Arabidopsis thaliana: one gene and its partner. The protein of the gene in region 1 interacts with the protein of each later gene in a pairwise test. Each region holds a gene or a part of one and is shown on either strand. Other genes may lie near its edges.

What was found.
Region 2: the proteins of AT1G48450 (region 1) and AT1G30475 interact in a two-hybrid assay, tested with the Arabidopsis thaliana proteins (one large-scale study listed by BioGRID).

The regions. Positions count from the first base shown.
Region 1 is NC_003070.9:17,906,200-17,913,055, reverse strand, and holds AT1G48450 (alanine-tRNA ligase, putative (DUF760)), read left to right. Parts: upstream 1-2,582; 5' UTR 2,583-2,710; coding exon 2,711-2,842; intron 2,843-3,088; coding exon 3,089-3,384; intron 3,385-3,466; coding exon 3,467-4,310; 3' UTR 4,311-4,354; coding exon of another isoform or gene 4,355-4,398; 3' UTR 4,399-4,553; downstream 4,554-6,856. Other genes in the region: AT1G48460 (tRNA-processing ribonuclease BN), read right to left, coding at 1-125, 242-582, 943-1,272, 1,360-1,402, 1,498-1,587; AT1G48440 (B-cell receptor-associated 31-like protein), read right to left, coding at 4,729-4,807, 4,895-4,950, 5,588-5,670, 5,810-5,981; AT1G48430 (Dihydroxyacetone kinase), read left to right, coding at 6,367-6,406, 6,542-6,615, 6,692-6,755, 6,836-6,856.
Region 2 is NC_003070.9:10,785,926-10,792,913, reverse strand, and holds AT1G30475 (uncharacterized protein), read left to right. Parts: upstream 1-2,970; coding exon 2,971-3,055; exon of another isoform or gene 3,056-3,194; coding exon 3,195-3,281; intron 3,282-3,536; coding exon 3,537-3,682; intron 3,683-3,925; coding exon 3,926-4,001; coding exon of another isoform or gene 4,002-4,093; exon of another isoform or gene 4,094-4,231; coding exon 4,232-4,413; 3' UTR 4,414-4,688; downstream 4,689-6,988. Other genes in the region: DRT111 (D111/G-patch domain-containing protein), read right to left, coding at 491-784, 1,730-2,599; AT1G30473 (Heavy metal transport/detoxification superfamily protein), read right to left, coding at 4,807-5,420, 5,507-5,585, 5,673-5,699; AT1G30470 (SIT4 phosphatase-associated family protein), read right to left, coding at 6,499-6,988.

The DNA of each region.
Region 1 (6,856 bases):
ACAACCAAACCAACTAGTGCAACTCCTCGCTCTGTTATTTCAGCAGTCGTTGCCGCATCTTTCATCATAAACATCAGCCTCTGAACAAAAGTCGCTGCTCTTGTCACCTGATACAGCCTATACACCTGCCATGACATACACAACCATAGTTACTCAAAACAAGACTACAACATCATGGACCACAAGAAGATGGGCAGACAAACTTAAGACCAAAATGGTCAAAATCAGAATATAAGTTTACCTCAAAGACTATTGGAACAATGGGCCAACAGGATGAGCCACGTCTTTCAAGCCGAGCCTCGAAAACTCTTTGAACTGCACAGCCAACCAAGAAAGGAAGCACTGCAATCAAAGCATCTATTCCAAGAGCTGGCCAAGTCATGTAAACAGCAAATACGGGAACTACAACTTTTAAACCCATCGTGAGGAATGCAGACGTAAGGTATCCCCTCAGTCCAGTGATCAGACCCCATCTCTTGGAGCTGAAGTCTAAGTACGGCCTCTGCACTCGGTCAGTCACAGACAGGAATATCGCAAGACCAGCATAAAACACCGTCTCAAAGCAAAAAGAAGTAACAATTTCTGCATCAAGAAATTATAATAAGAGAGAGCATCAAAATGAGTATCATACAACAAGAGATAGATCATTTGCTAAGTCTCTTAGCTTTAGGAGAGTTATGAGATCTCGTTTAGGTACTTTCTAAGGCTCAGGTCATGTGTTCTTGATAATAGTGAAAAAAAGGATTCTAATATTGCACATCAGAAAACATGTACTAAGCCTATCAAAACCTCAAAGCCAAAGCCTACTACACTAAAACATAATGAGTTAGCAGATGTAACACCACTAAGATAGATAGCTTCTACTCCATTTGTTCCTTCCTAGGATTCATATAAGTCATAATCCGATGTTAAACATTAAAGCAGTAGTAAAACCTGACCTACCAGCAACAGTGTCGTTTTTGAAGGTAGCTTCAATGATACCACTTAGAAAGAACTGAGGAAGAATCAACGAAGAAATCAAAACAACAGGAGCCAAAACCCACAAGAAAGAACCTTTCTCTTCTTGAAACGGAGCTGAAACCAGTTTACTTTCTTCAACCAGCTGATGAGTCAGACCATTGAAAGAAACAGAACCTGATTTCCCACGGAACAGCTCAGCTCGAGCATAGTTACTCTTATCCGATTGCTTCTTCTCAGGTCTTGAGTCAGATTGAGAAGAAGAACACGCTACACGAACTCGGCTCAATTGCGGTTTGTTCCAAAGGAGGGTTTCTTAAACAAGAATGAAAATGAGAAAAAGGATCAGTCTTTATGCTACAATCTGGGTGAAGTAGGAGGATTTAAGATAGAGATACTTACGTCTGGAATCAAGTTTGTGACGCGTCGCAAATGTGGAAGAAGCCTATAGAATCAGGAGATATTGACAAATTTTAGGATAAGGTTTTGGAAGAATCGAAATGGAAAAAAATGAAATTTTGATGGTTAAATTTCACTTACAGGAGGAGAAGGAGGAAGAGAGAGTAAACGTGGAGATGAAAATCGAAGTCTTGGAGGAAGAAACCCTAAGCAAATTGCTTTCGATTCCATTTTTGTTAGGGTTTTTTGTGTTCTCTCAGCAGCTTAAACCCAGGCTTTGAAATAAATCTCTTCACTGTCTTTATTCTAAAAGAAAATTCTTTTCTGACATTTTATTTTTTGGAATTGTTTTCTTTGAAATGGGTTAAAAATTAAACTGTCCTTCTGATTGCATTTATTTTCTATGGTTTTACAATGGGCCTTTTATGTATTTTAGCTTGGCCCAGTTGAATTTTTTTTTTTGCACAAACCCAATTTTTTTTTATGTATTTCCTTCTGTTCGGTTATTTCGGTTTTTTTTGCACATACCCAGTTAAAAACCGAATTACCCGAAAACCGAACCTACCCGAACCGAACCTAATATCGGATCAATTCAGCATACTTTTCCAAAAAATTTAACAAAAAAAACGAAAACCGATATAACCGAACCGAACCGAAACGTTAAACCGAACTTTGATTGAGAAAGAAGTTGAGGCAAAATAATAGTGAAGATCGGATAAAAATGGGTGAAGTTGTAGAAAGAGGAGGCTCAGCTGTAACCTTTGGATACTTTAGCATCATTCTACTACCCACCACACTTTCACGGTGGTAGTAGCCGTAAGTCCGGCCTTTTTTTCATCATCGCCACCGTTTTTCTTATTTTATTAGCAAAAACGAAAAACCTTTTAAAAAAATTGTAGATTCACAGAAGACAAAATAACTTTTTTTAAACGAAATCACTGAGAAACGAAAAATCAGATAGAAACGACGACGACATTCTTACACACCGATTGGGGTAAAACTTTTTAGACGCGAAAGGCGAGAGAAACCCTAATTGTCTTGATGGGTCGTATTCTGGGCTATATATGTTTCCCATAATGGTCTAAAATCCCGCTTAATGGGCTTTGAGAAATATAAATATGAGCCCAACTTCTATTGTGTCAAACATGAAAAATTACGAAATTAATTTCCCGTAATTATCAAAAGAAAAAACGTGAGTGGGTATTATTGGAAGAGATAAGAGTCATAAACCATCCACACTAACCGGTTTAATCACTATTTATCGACATCATCTTCTCCTACATTCTAGGTTTCTTCTTCATTTCTCCTTTCTCTGGCCAAAGTTCCGACTTTTTGCTTCTCCCAGAGGCTAATCATGGACGCTGTGGCGGCGAATTTGTTTCAATCTCCTTCCTTACTGCGTCAAACTTCCGAAAGGTTGATATTTTCGACGCCCAACTGTCCTGGCTTCATGCGAATTAGCTCCGGACCTCAATTTCGTCTCAGAGTAGGTCTTATTTCTACTGAGTTTGATTTACTAAACCCTAGACAACATTGACATTTATAGCTTTCCCGAATCATCTTTGTTTGTGCTTAATCTACCCCATAATCGTATATCTTCCAATGAAATTCGAGAATTCAGATTCTGTGTAAAAAAATGGAACTTTTAAGGTTTCTTCGTGTAAATTTCTCATAAGTAAAAAAATTGGCTTGACTATATTGTAATTTGAATCTGTTGTCTCTCTGTATGCAGCAAAACTCTTCTCTTAAATTCTCGAGACCATTTCAAAGCGGAACAACTTGTGTTAAATCTCGGAGAAGCTTTGTGGTTAAAGCTTCAGCTTCTGGTGATGCTTCAACAGAATCAATCGCGCCGCTTCAGTTGAAGTCTCCTGTGGGACAGTTTCTGTCACAGATATTAGTGAGCCATCCTCATCTTGTTCCAGCAGCTGTTGAACAGCAGCTTGAACAGCTCCAAATTGATCGAGACGCTGAAGAACAGAGTAAAGATGCATCCTCTGTCCTTGGAACAGACATTGTTCTCTACAGGTTTGTCATATGCTGATATTAATTACCACTCGGCTATTATATAGGTTTGGATATTGAATTAGATTGTTTCTTGGGTCTTTAGGAGAATTGCTGAAGTTAAGGAGAAAGAGAGAAGAAGGGCCTTGGAAGAGATTTTGTATGCGTTAGTGGTTCAGAAGTTCATGGATGCTAATGTTACACTTGTACCATCCATAACCTCTTCATCTGCGGATCCATCTGGTCGAGTTGATACTTGGCCAACTCTAGATGGGGAACTTGAGAGACTTCACTCGCCTGAAGTTTATGAGATGATTCAGAATCATCTTTCCATCATTCTTAAAAACCGCACTGATGATCTGACAGCAGTTGCGCAGATAAGCAAACTTGGAGTTGGACAGGTATATGCTGCTTCGGTGATGTATGGGTATTTCCTGAAGAGGATCGATCAAAGGTTTCAGCTTGAGAAGACGATGAGGATTCTCCCAGGTGGGTCAGATGAAGGTGAGACTAGCATTGAGCAAGCAGGCCGAGATGTAGAGAGAAACTTCTATGAAGAAGCAGAAGAGACTTATCAGGCTGTTTCCTCAAACCAAGACGTTGGTTCGTTTGTAGGAGGGATCAATGCCAGTGGCGGTTTTAGCAGTGATATGAAGCAATCCCGGTTAAAGACATACGTTATGTCCTTTGATGGAGAAACCCTTCAAAGGTACGCTACAATAAGATCTAGAGAATCGGTTGGGATAATTGAGAAGCATACAGAAGCATTGTTTGGGAGGCCAGAGATTGTGATAACGCCACAAGGCACTATTGATTCCTCGAAGGACGAGCATATCAAGATCAGCTTCAAGGGATTGAAGAGGCTTGTGTTGGAGGCTGTGACGTTTGGTTCTTTCCTCTGGGACGTGGAGAGCCATGTAGACTCAAGGTATCACTTCGTACTGAACTGAAATGGCCTCTGTGGTTTATGAGGATGTGCCACATTCTTTGAGAGGGTTTGGGGATTTGTTGTTTGTAATATATGCGACTGTGAACTGACCAACTAATATCAATACCCATTTTATGGTAATACTACATTCGCGATCAGTTTGTGTTATTCTTCTCGTTTACATCTTGAAGTGCATCGTTGTTGTTTAACAAAATTAGTGTCTGTAAATGATAATTCTGGACATGAAAAATTAAGGTTGTTCTTGAAATATGATCAAAGAAATGGACACTGATGATATACACATATAGTGTGCAAAGGCTGTTCACGATACTCTTAGTTTCATTCAGGTCCAATAATATTAGAACGTAAAAATGCAATAAAAAAAAGCTTTACTTATATAATGGTTTTGAGGAACCAACTCCCTATACTCGTGAAGATTATTACTCTTCCTTGAATCTCTTCTCCGTTGCCTCCAAGCGCTCCAGGTCTTTGTTGTATTTGCAGATGCGGTAGATGCACCTGTCAATGAATAAAAGAGATATCAATAAAACTACGCGAGACCCTGTCTGTGAGTGACTGATAATAGCTGATGATGTTACAACTTACCAGTAGAGTAGAATTCCTGCAGCGCATAGAACCACGTTCCTCTGAGCCTTGTAGATCTGTGGTACAATGCAAACGCACAACTCGTTAGCAAGCAAGCTGAGACATTTCAGGGAAAGAGAAGGAACTAAGGGGTGAATTAAATATCCAAGTGTTTGATTTTCAGTTTTTCACTATGTATAATTGATCCTGGCGACTCGCAACTGCATACCCAAAAAGGTTTGAATACAGTGCATGACCAGAAAACTGAGGGATGAACTAAACATCCAAGAGTGGTGATGAAGCTTCACCAAGAATCAATTGCCAACAATTCACAAGAGCAAAGTATAAACTGAACTATGAATGACAATCGTGCCGATGGTATAAAGAAAGTCACATGTTGCTATTTGACAGTAGCTAGAACTACGATTAAAAGATATATGAGTACATCAATGAAGGGTAAGACCTAAAAAAATGCATTGACACTAACAAGTTAGACAGTGTTTTGTAGCTCTAATCTATGCAACTTCCTCAGACAAAGAAAGCCAATTCTCAGAAGTTTTACTAACAAATATTGATCTTTAGACTAAAGATGGGAGAAAATGACAAGGATGAAACTCACAAATCTAACAATTTACTATTCAAAAAAAGATTCATACACATAGAATTCAGCTATAGAAGAATCAAAGACAAAGGTGATCAAGGAATGGTACTTACAGATTTCTCGTAGCGATCACGTTCTGTAGCAGTGCAAACCTCAGATGAACAAGATAGTCTATGCTCAGCCTTCCAGTAAATATCTGAATGAAATCAAAACCAAATAAGCAAAAGCACACAAAGGTACCAAATCCACAGAATCACTCGCGGCTCAAAACCCTAACTATACATATTCCGACTACGAAATAGATAGATAGAGCGAGAGAGAGGAGAGGAGGTTACCGAGGAGCTGAAATCCGGCGAAGGCGACGATGGAAGCAGCAGGTTGGAGAATCAATGAGACAAGCTGAACTACACGTTTCTTAAGAAGCATAGGGTAAGGGAGAGTCAACACGAGGGTGATTACTACTTCGACGGCCACCACATACGATAGAATCAGCCATTGCAACGCCATTGTTGTTCGTCTTTTTCTGGATCTCTCTCTCTCTCTATCTCTATTCCGTGTGAAGTAGACGAAGAATAATAATAGACGAACCGTGTGCGTGGAACACGTGCCTATGCTTAACCATTTTTTCTTTATCTTACTAATTAAGTTATTTTCTTACTTAATGGGCTCTCACCTCCGGCCCAATATCTCCATATACCGGTTTTATTGTGCTGATTATCGGTTTATTTCGATTTAACGGTTAGCTTTCAAGAACAAATACAGAAACTAGTCACTCTCTTCTTCTTCTCTGCCATTGTTGACTCTTGAAGTCTCAATTTTTTCTCTTCTTTATTTCTCCGTATGAACTTCTCCGATTTTATGGTTTTTATATCCTTGAAAGCTAGCTAGCACCATGGTTCCTCCGGCTAAAAAATTCATCAACAACCCCAACGGTTCGTGATCCCTCGTCTCCGTTTGTGTTTCGAATCGCTAGCTCTCTGTTCTAGATAGTTTATCTCATATATGGTAGTTGCATGCTCTTGAAATATCAATTGATAGAGAGAATGAACATAAGCTGTTTATTGCAGATGTTGTAACCGAGTTCATCGAAGGTCTCGTCGAAACTTATCCTGGACTTCAGTATTTGGATGGTCTTCCCGAGGTTAAAAAAATTCACTTTTTTCGATTCCTTCCATGGATGTGTGCAAAATCTCAGCTTATTTATGATGAATTCACAGATCAAAGTTGTACTAAGAGCTGATGTCTCAGCTGCAAATTATGACAAGGTTGCCGTTATATCAGGTTGGAGTTTACTTGTCCAATTCTTTTTTATTACAAATTGAGTTTCGTTTTCGTGTTATGCAATGCCATTTTTGAAACAGGAGGAGGAAGTGGGCATGAAC
Region 2 (6,988 bases), 7.1 Mb from region 1:
ACTATAGAGAATTTTTCAATCAACAAAATGAATAAACGTTACGTTTTTATTTATGAAATTTATCTTTTGATCAAATATAAGAAGACTCTTTTTTTTCGTCATATAAGAAGACTCTTTTGATGCTATTCTTCTCATTAAAAGTTTGTACATTTCTGTGTCCTGAAATCAACGATTTTGGGCCTAGTAGCCCAAATTCTATTAACTCGATATTAACTCGAATCGTATACACTCGACCCATTAGTCTTTTTTGTTACTATATTGTCTCATGACCCATTAGTACTGGATTGTGACTATTTCATATGTTAAATCAAACCATGACAGAAAAAGCAGGAACATTTCTTGATCCTTGTGAAGCTACTTTGAACAACAATAAAGAGATAATCCCAAGATTTCTAAGTACTTTACAAATGTTTTTAAAACCTCATCTATGGTTTCTTTCTCTAACAAGAATCTCCTAGAAGATGAAGTTTCTTCTTTGTCTTAGGAGTTATTAATAGCCAGGGATTTCACCTGGAACTGGAGCCAACTCGTTCTTACTGAATTTCTCTTCATCATAGAACGTTGCACGTACGGTTCTTCCTCCAAAGTATCTCCCATCGAGGTCTACAAGGGCTTTAGTTGTTTCCTCGGGTCTTGAAAACTGAACAAAGATTCTTACTGCTTCGTGTACAGGGAAGTTCGGTTCAGTGATCTCGAATATCAGTACACGAGTGACTGTACCGTATTTGCCACACTCGCCTCCTACCTCATCTTCTAGCTCATCATCTACTTGTCCTGGCCCAACCTTCAGACACAGAGAAAACAGGTGATGGGTCAACCAGAATTGATACATGAGACAAGGAAGATACGATTTTTCCAACAAGTACTTGTTATGGTGAAAACAATCAGAATAACAAGAATGTGCCTACGTTTATGACAATCAATGTGAAGATGCATTCATTCACATACCAATAACTACATGGTTGGAATTTCCATCAAAAATTAGTCAAGAAATGAAAAAAAAAAACACAGAAAGAATAGATCTTGCGAGTTATTACAGTAATCCAAGAACCATAAAAATTACTTCATCAAATGCCAACCCCTACGGATTCATTTGTCAACTCTCTAGTATTTGGCAATCCAAGCTTAAAGCCTCAGGTTAGGCTATCCCCAAAAACCAAAGTACGGTTCCAAATGCTTATTTGACTATTTGAGGGAAAGATACTGTAACTTAAACTGTTGTTTCCAAAGAGTAGGCAATCTAAATTCTATAACAATCCAGCAGTGTACTAGGCTACCATAACATAAGTAACACTCTAAGCTACAAGCTTCACCAACAAAGAATTATCATCACAAAACTGCCAAAGCTTTTAACTTCACGATAGCTTGAAAAAATCAACATAGTCACAAAAGGTCCTACTTTCCAATGGCATCCCATTACTCAATTCCATTTCCACAGAGACATCTTTGTCAACCGTAATTCAATACTACGCCCTCACATGCTGCCAACAATTAGCAGTAACAATTTCTTAACTAAGACCACATCAAATGTTGGAATACATTAATATCATTCTAACAGACCGTTCTAAATCATTGTAGCAAAGTGTGTCCTAGTATAACAACACGTTTGATTTGAATAAGTTCTAAATTGACTTTGGCCTACTAATACTGATTCAACTAAGACTGTGGCATCCAAACTCAAGAACTGAAGAATCCATAAGCTGATAAGAGATGTTATTGAAACGCATACCATGTTTCTAAGAAGCAAAACCCTGGTTGGTTCACCATTGATATTAACACTCTTAACAACCTTCTTCTCCGCCGAAGAAGATTTATTCTCACTAGCATTGACAATGACACCAGCTCTACGATCAGTCTTCTTAGCCATCAATGGCGTAGTAATCCCTTGCTCTGATTTCCCAAGCCCTTGTCCTTGTTTCCATCCCATCTTCGCCATCATCCTCTGAGCAGCTGTCATCTGTCCACCTGCTCCTACTCCTAACCCACTCGTCTCCGATTTCCCAATACTAAACCCATCAACATTCCCCGGCGGAGACGAAGATCTTCCCTTCCCACCACTTCCACCACCACTCATAGCAGCGCGTCTCTTCCACGCTTCCTCACCGGAGATATTCAACCGAGACGGATCACTGTTATCTCTCTCTCTCTCCTTCTCCCTCTCTTCTCTTTCTCTCTTATCTCTTTCCTCATCCTCTTGCCTTCTCTTATCCATCTCTCGTTTCATCTCAGCTTCCGTAGCTTTCCTCTTCTTCTCCCTCTTATACTCCTCGTAATCGTTAGGTCTCGCTGGATCGTACTCTTCAATCACCGATGAAGTCACACCAACCAATGCAGGCTGATGCGAAGGTGCTGATTCGTTCGCCGGAATAAGCACCGATTGCGATGAATTCGAAGGAGGAGGAGGCTTGTACGGAGCCGAAACGATAGGTTTAGGTTTGTTGAGAGGTCTTAAGATTGTTTGCGGGGGAGCAAAAGCTGGTGGTTTGCGAAGTGTAGGTGGAGCCATTTTGGTACTGCTTGACCAGACGGAAGAGGAGTTTCCACTGGGTTTCTCATCATCGGTCGGTGGAGGAAGATCTCCGTATAATCCACCAAGCATTTTTTCGCCGCCGGTAAAGAGACTCAAAATTCACGGTTCGCTTTCAATTGGAAAGATCTGCTCAAATTAGGGTTTTTAATTTTTTCCGATCAGCCTTAGTAATAATAAATAAAACAAATATCATTTTGTTGGAAAATAAAAAACCGACAAACAAAGGAGAAATATTTTGTCCTTTTATTTTATTTTCTGGGCTATTTAGATTCTTGCAATAGAAGCCAACGCTTTAAAATTGATTTGTGCGAGAATTTTACATAAACCCTAAGAAAGATCTTTGTTTTTTCCGTCTTTTTGCGTTTTAGTCTTCAGGTGCGATTCACGTTCCTCATCTTTTTTGTTCTTCTTATAAACTATTTATTTGCGTTTCGTCCTCTATGATCGAGAAGCTTCGAGGAGCAACCAAAATCCCAAATTTTTCCTCGACAAAAAATCTACCTGCTTTGATCCAAATCTCTATGGGTTTTTATCATTAATCGAATTTCAAAATTGATGAATCCATAATTTTTTTCTCTATTCGATTTATGAGAAATTGATTTTTTTTTTTATTTTTCTCCCTTGTGAAATAGGTTAAAGATTATTGTTTTGTTGCTGTTTGTAGTTATGCCGGTAATGAATCCATCATTGTGTATTGGTACACAAACATCGGTGTACCTCGCTCCTCGTGAGAAATCTTTTACGAGTAATGGTATGTCTCTTCTAAATCTCAACACTTGTTGGCTCTTAAGTTTACAATTGCTTCTTTGGAAAATTCTTTGAAATTGAGTTTGGATTGCTCTTGACAAATTGAAGAAACTAGACTTGTTGTTGTTATTGATATCTCAGAGCTTTAGTGAGTGTTGTTGTAGCATTGATTCTTGCTTTAGTCCCATCGTTCGAGCTTGCTTTTATTGAATGAACAATGGAATTCTAAAGCTCTTCTTCTACTTGCTGTCTGTAATAGGAAACTCTCAAAGGCGTTATCCTACAAGCGTTTCTATGCAACGCCAGCCTTGGAGCCAAAGTAAATTCCCTTCTCTCCAGGATGCAGTGCAACCAGTTGTCGTCTCTAAGAATAAAAGACCAGTCTTTGCATGTAACTCTGCGCTGGTAGGTTCCATTCATGACTTTGCAGCCTTTAAGTTTAAGTGTTTTAAATCTTTAGCTGTTGGGATAACTTCATCACACACCATTTTGCTCACATAACTTAATTACACATCATAAGCCATTTTGCTTGTTTTATGAACAAGATCCTTTTGCTCTTATGGCCGATAATAGTTTATTTTCCGGTATTCTCTTCCTAAGTGTCTCTGAAACGCTAGCTGTTTACTTATTCTGATTTGTTTTCTGCAGAATTCAAAATGCAGTCAAGGACAAACACAGACCGTTACACGGCAATCACCAACAATCACACAAGCTCCTACTCATGGTAAATTGTTTCATCCCCTTCTCTATGTTGAACAACTATTTTGCGTTTCTAACAAACAAGAGGGGCTTAAAAAACCATACGATTCTAGCTAATATGAAACAGTTATTTTGAACTCAAATTGTGGCTTGCTATGGTTCTTATTCTTGAGAATGTGCTTTAACAGAAACGGACTGGTCTATTCTTGTTTGTATCTTCAGAATTTATTTTTTTAGCCTTAACTTAAATATCAGGAAAAGTTAAATCCCCAAAGCTTGATGACGGTGGAAACGGGTTCCCACCTCGGGATGATGGTGGTGGTGGTGGTGGCGGAGGCGGTGGAGGGAGCTCTTCAGGTGGATTCTTCCTTTTCGGGTTTCTTTTGTTCATGGGATACTTGAAAGATTTGGAGGGCGAACATGAAAACAACCATTAAATCGGAGGAAAACATGATGCACAAGCACAACAGACAAATCTCAAGACAAGTATTCTCCAAGAGAAATCTCTGTATCAAAAACAATAGATTCTAGTACTAGCAATAGGCACAGATTTGAGTTGTTATTTATGTTTTCTCTGTTGGGTTATGAATGAGATTCTTGTTCCGTGACACAAACAAAGCTCATCTTATCCAAATGTTTATGGAACCAGGTTTGGGAGATGCAGAGAATCACACATAAATGAATTCAAAATGTACCCTTGTTCTTTTGTTTTAAAAGTTTGCCAGACTTGAGAAATGTTCACTATCGGCAATTGGCAAAAGATACGAAACTTAAAAACAATTCTTTTGCTTAGTATATGTATCAGAGACATAATCAACAGAACAAGTAGCTTAGGTGACAACCTGTTTCTGCTCCCCGTAATGCAACTTAGGGTGCATCTTAAACGGTTGGGGTGCTGACTGGAACATGTTAACATTAGGTGGCATTGGAACTTGTGCTTGTTGCTGCATCATTAGTGGTCGTTGTTGCTGCATCATTGGTGGTTGCATCATTGGTGGATAGGGCATCATTGGATGCGGAGGCCGCAACTGCGACGATGTAGTAGAATTGAAGCCAAAGCCAGGAGGAACATTCTCAAACTTTGATGGGACATGCCAGTTTCGGTTTCGCATCGGTAAAGGCTGAACAACTTTTGATTTACTGCTGAAACACCATAAAAGAGAAAGCATTTTTAGTATCCCAGACTTCTTCTTCTTCTGCTGCATCATCTTCTCTTGGAATTGACGTTCCATGGGTTTAGGATCATAAGATGAATTAGTAGAGTCAGAAGAAGAGTAGTCTTCTGAATCACTGTTTAGATCATCATCATCAAGCTGGTACTTGACTGAGAAAAGCTCTGTTTTTCTGTCATGTTTATTAAGTTTACGAACCAGAGCCATGGGTTCTACGTCACCTCTGACTGTCATGAGCCCTTTTTCGATGTTATACTCCACTTCCTCTACACCTATTTCCATTGGAAACAAAGTATTTAAATCATCATGTTTAAAGACATATGAGCCACGCAATTAAAAGCTTTGAAGTATTTTTTACCAGAGATACTCTGCAATTTCATGCTTGCTTTTTTTTGGCAACCAATGCAACACTTTAGATCGACTTTTAGTATGCACGTCTGCAAAAATATACACAGAAAATCATTAGCAACTGAAAAACAGAGAGAGAGAGATAGATTGAAAGATTGAGAGACGGGAAGAAGTACCCGGACGGATTGGTTTGGGTTCGCCATTGAAGGAAGCTTGGTGAAAAGAAGAAGAAGCAAACCCTAAACTATGTAACTAGATGGAGAAAAAGAAATTGTACATAGGCATCGTTAAATCTTATATATGCAAGGGAGAGAATCAATAAACTTTCCATATTTAGCAGACTTTTCCATTAATAAGTTAAGGTAATGATACATTTATTGACGTAGATGATTAGTCATTACTGTTTGTTTTCATATCTTGATGTATATTTGAAGATTCTGGAGGATAATGAAAGCTTAGTATTTCAATTCTCCACAATGGAGATTTGCCAACGTTAATATCCAAACTCAAGCTCAGATATCTCATGTAAAGATTCTTTGAGTGTTTTTCATGATGCAAATTTTTGTGTCTGGTTTTCGTCTAGACCAAGCTCTCAATTCTTTTGAGTTTTGGTATGAAGATCTCCGAAATATACAATGTCTACTCGAAAGACTTTTGCTCTTGTTGCGATGACAGAATCGATTTCTCTGTTCACGACAGAAGCATCAAACAACAAGGAACAAGTGAAAAATTAATAGCAACAACTTTACAAGACACTTGATGAGTCTAGCTGAGGTAAAAGATTATACTAATAAAATATGAAAAGCTAGTAACAAATTTTGGTCGACAATAATGTTGAATAAAAAATACCGGATTTGGAGATGATACAATGAAGTAAACAAACAAGGAAAAGAAAAAAATAGAATAATAAATTGTACCCAAAACAGACAAAGCCCTTAATCAAACTAAACCAGAAGAAATTTTGTTTTATCAGTCAAAGAGACCCCCGGTTAAGTAAAAAGCTCACACTACCTTCTCTGGTTCCTTCACAGCCTCTTCGGTCTCTTTGGTATCTGCTTCTGCTGCAACCTCTGTTTCTTTTGTCCCATGAGGGCTTTCAGGTTCAGAGCTTTTAGCATCCGCATGAGATTCAGCAGGATCGGAATCTCTCAAGTTTCCAGTTACTTCAGCTCCACTCGCTTTTGGTGAGCTCTCTGTGGGTTCAATGCCACTAGCTTTTGGTGAGTTCTCAGTGGGTTCAACACCACTCTCATCTGGTAACTTCTCTGTGGTTTCATCGCCAGGTACACCTGGTGTTTTCACTGCACTTTTGTTATCAGTATCATCATCATCATCATTATCCTCTTTCTCAATTTGAACATCACCATTGGACAATATGGTAGTCTCCTCTGGGTTGGAAGAAGGTGGTGCGGTGGACTCAGAGGTCTCTCTCCACTCAACCCAAGCAGGTGACTTTTCAGGTTCTGGTTCACTCGGGTTTTCAGAAGGATGC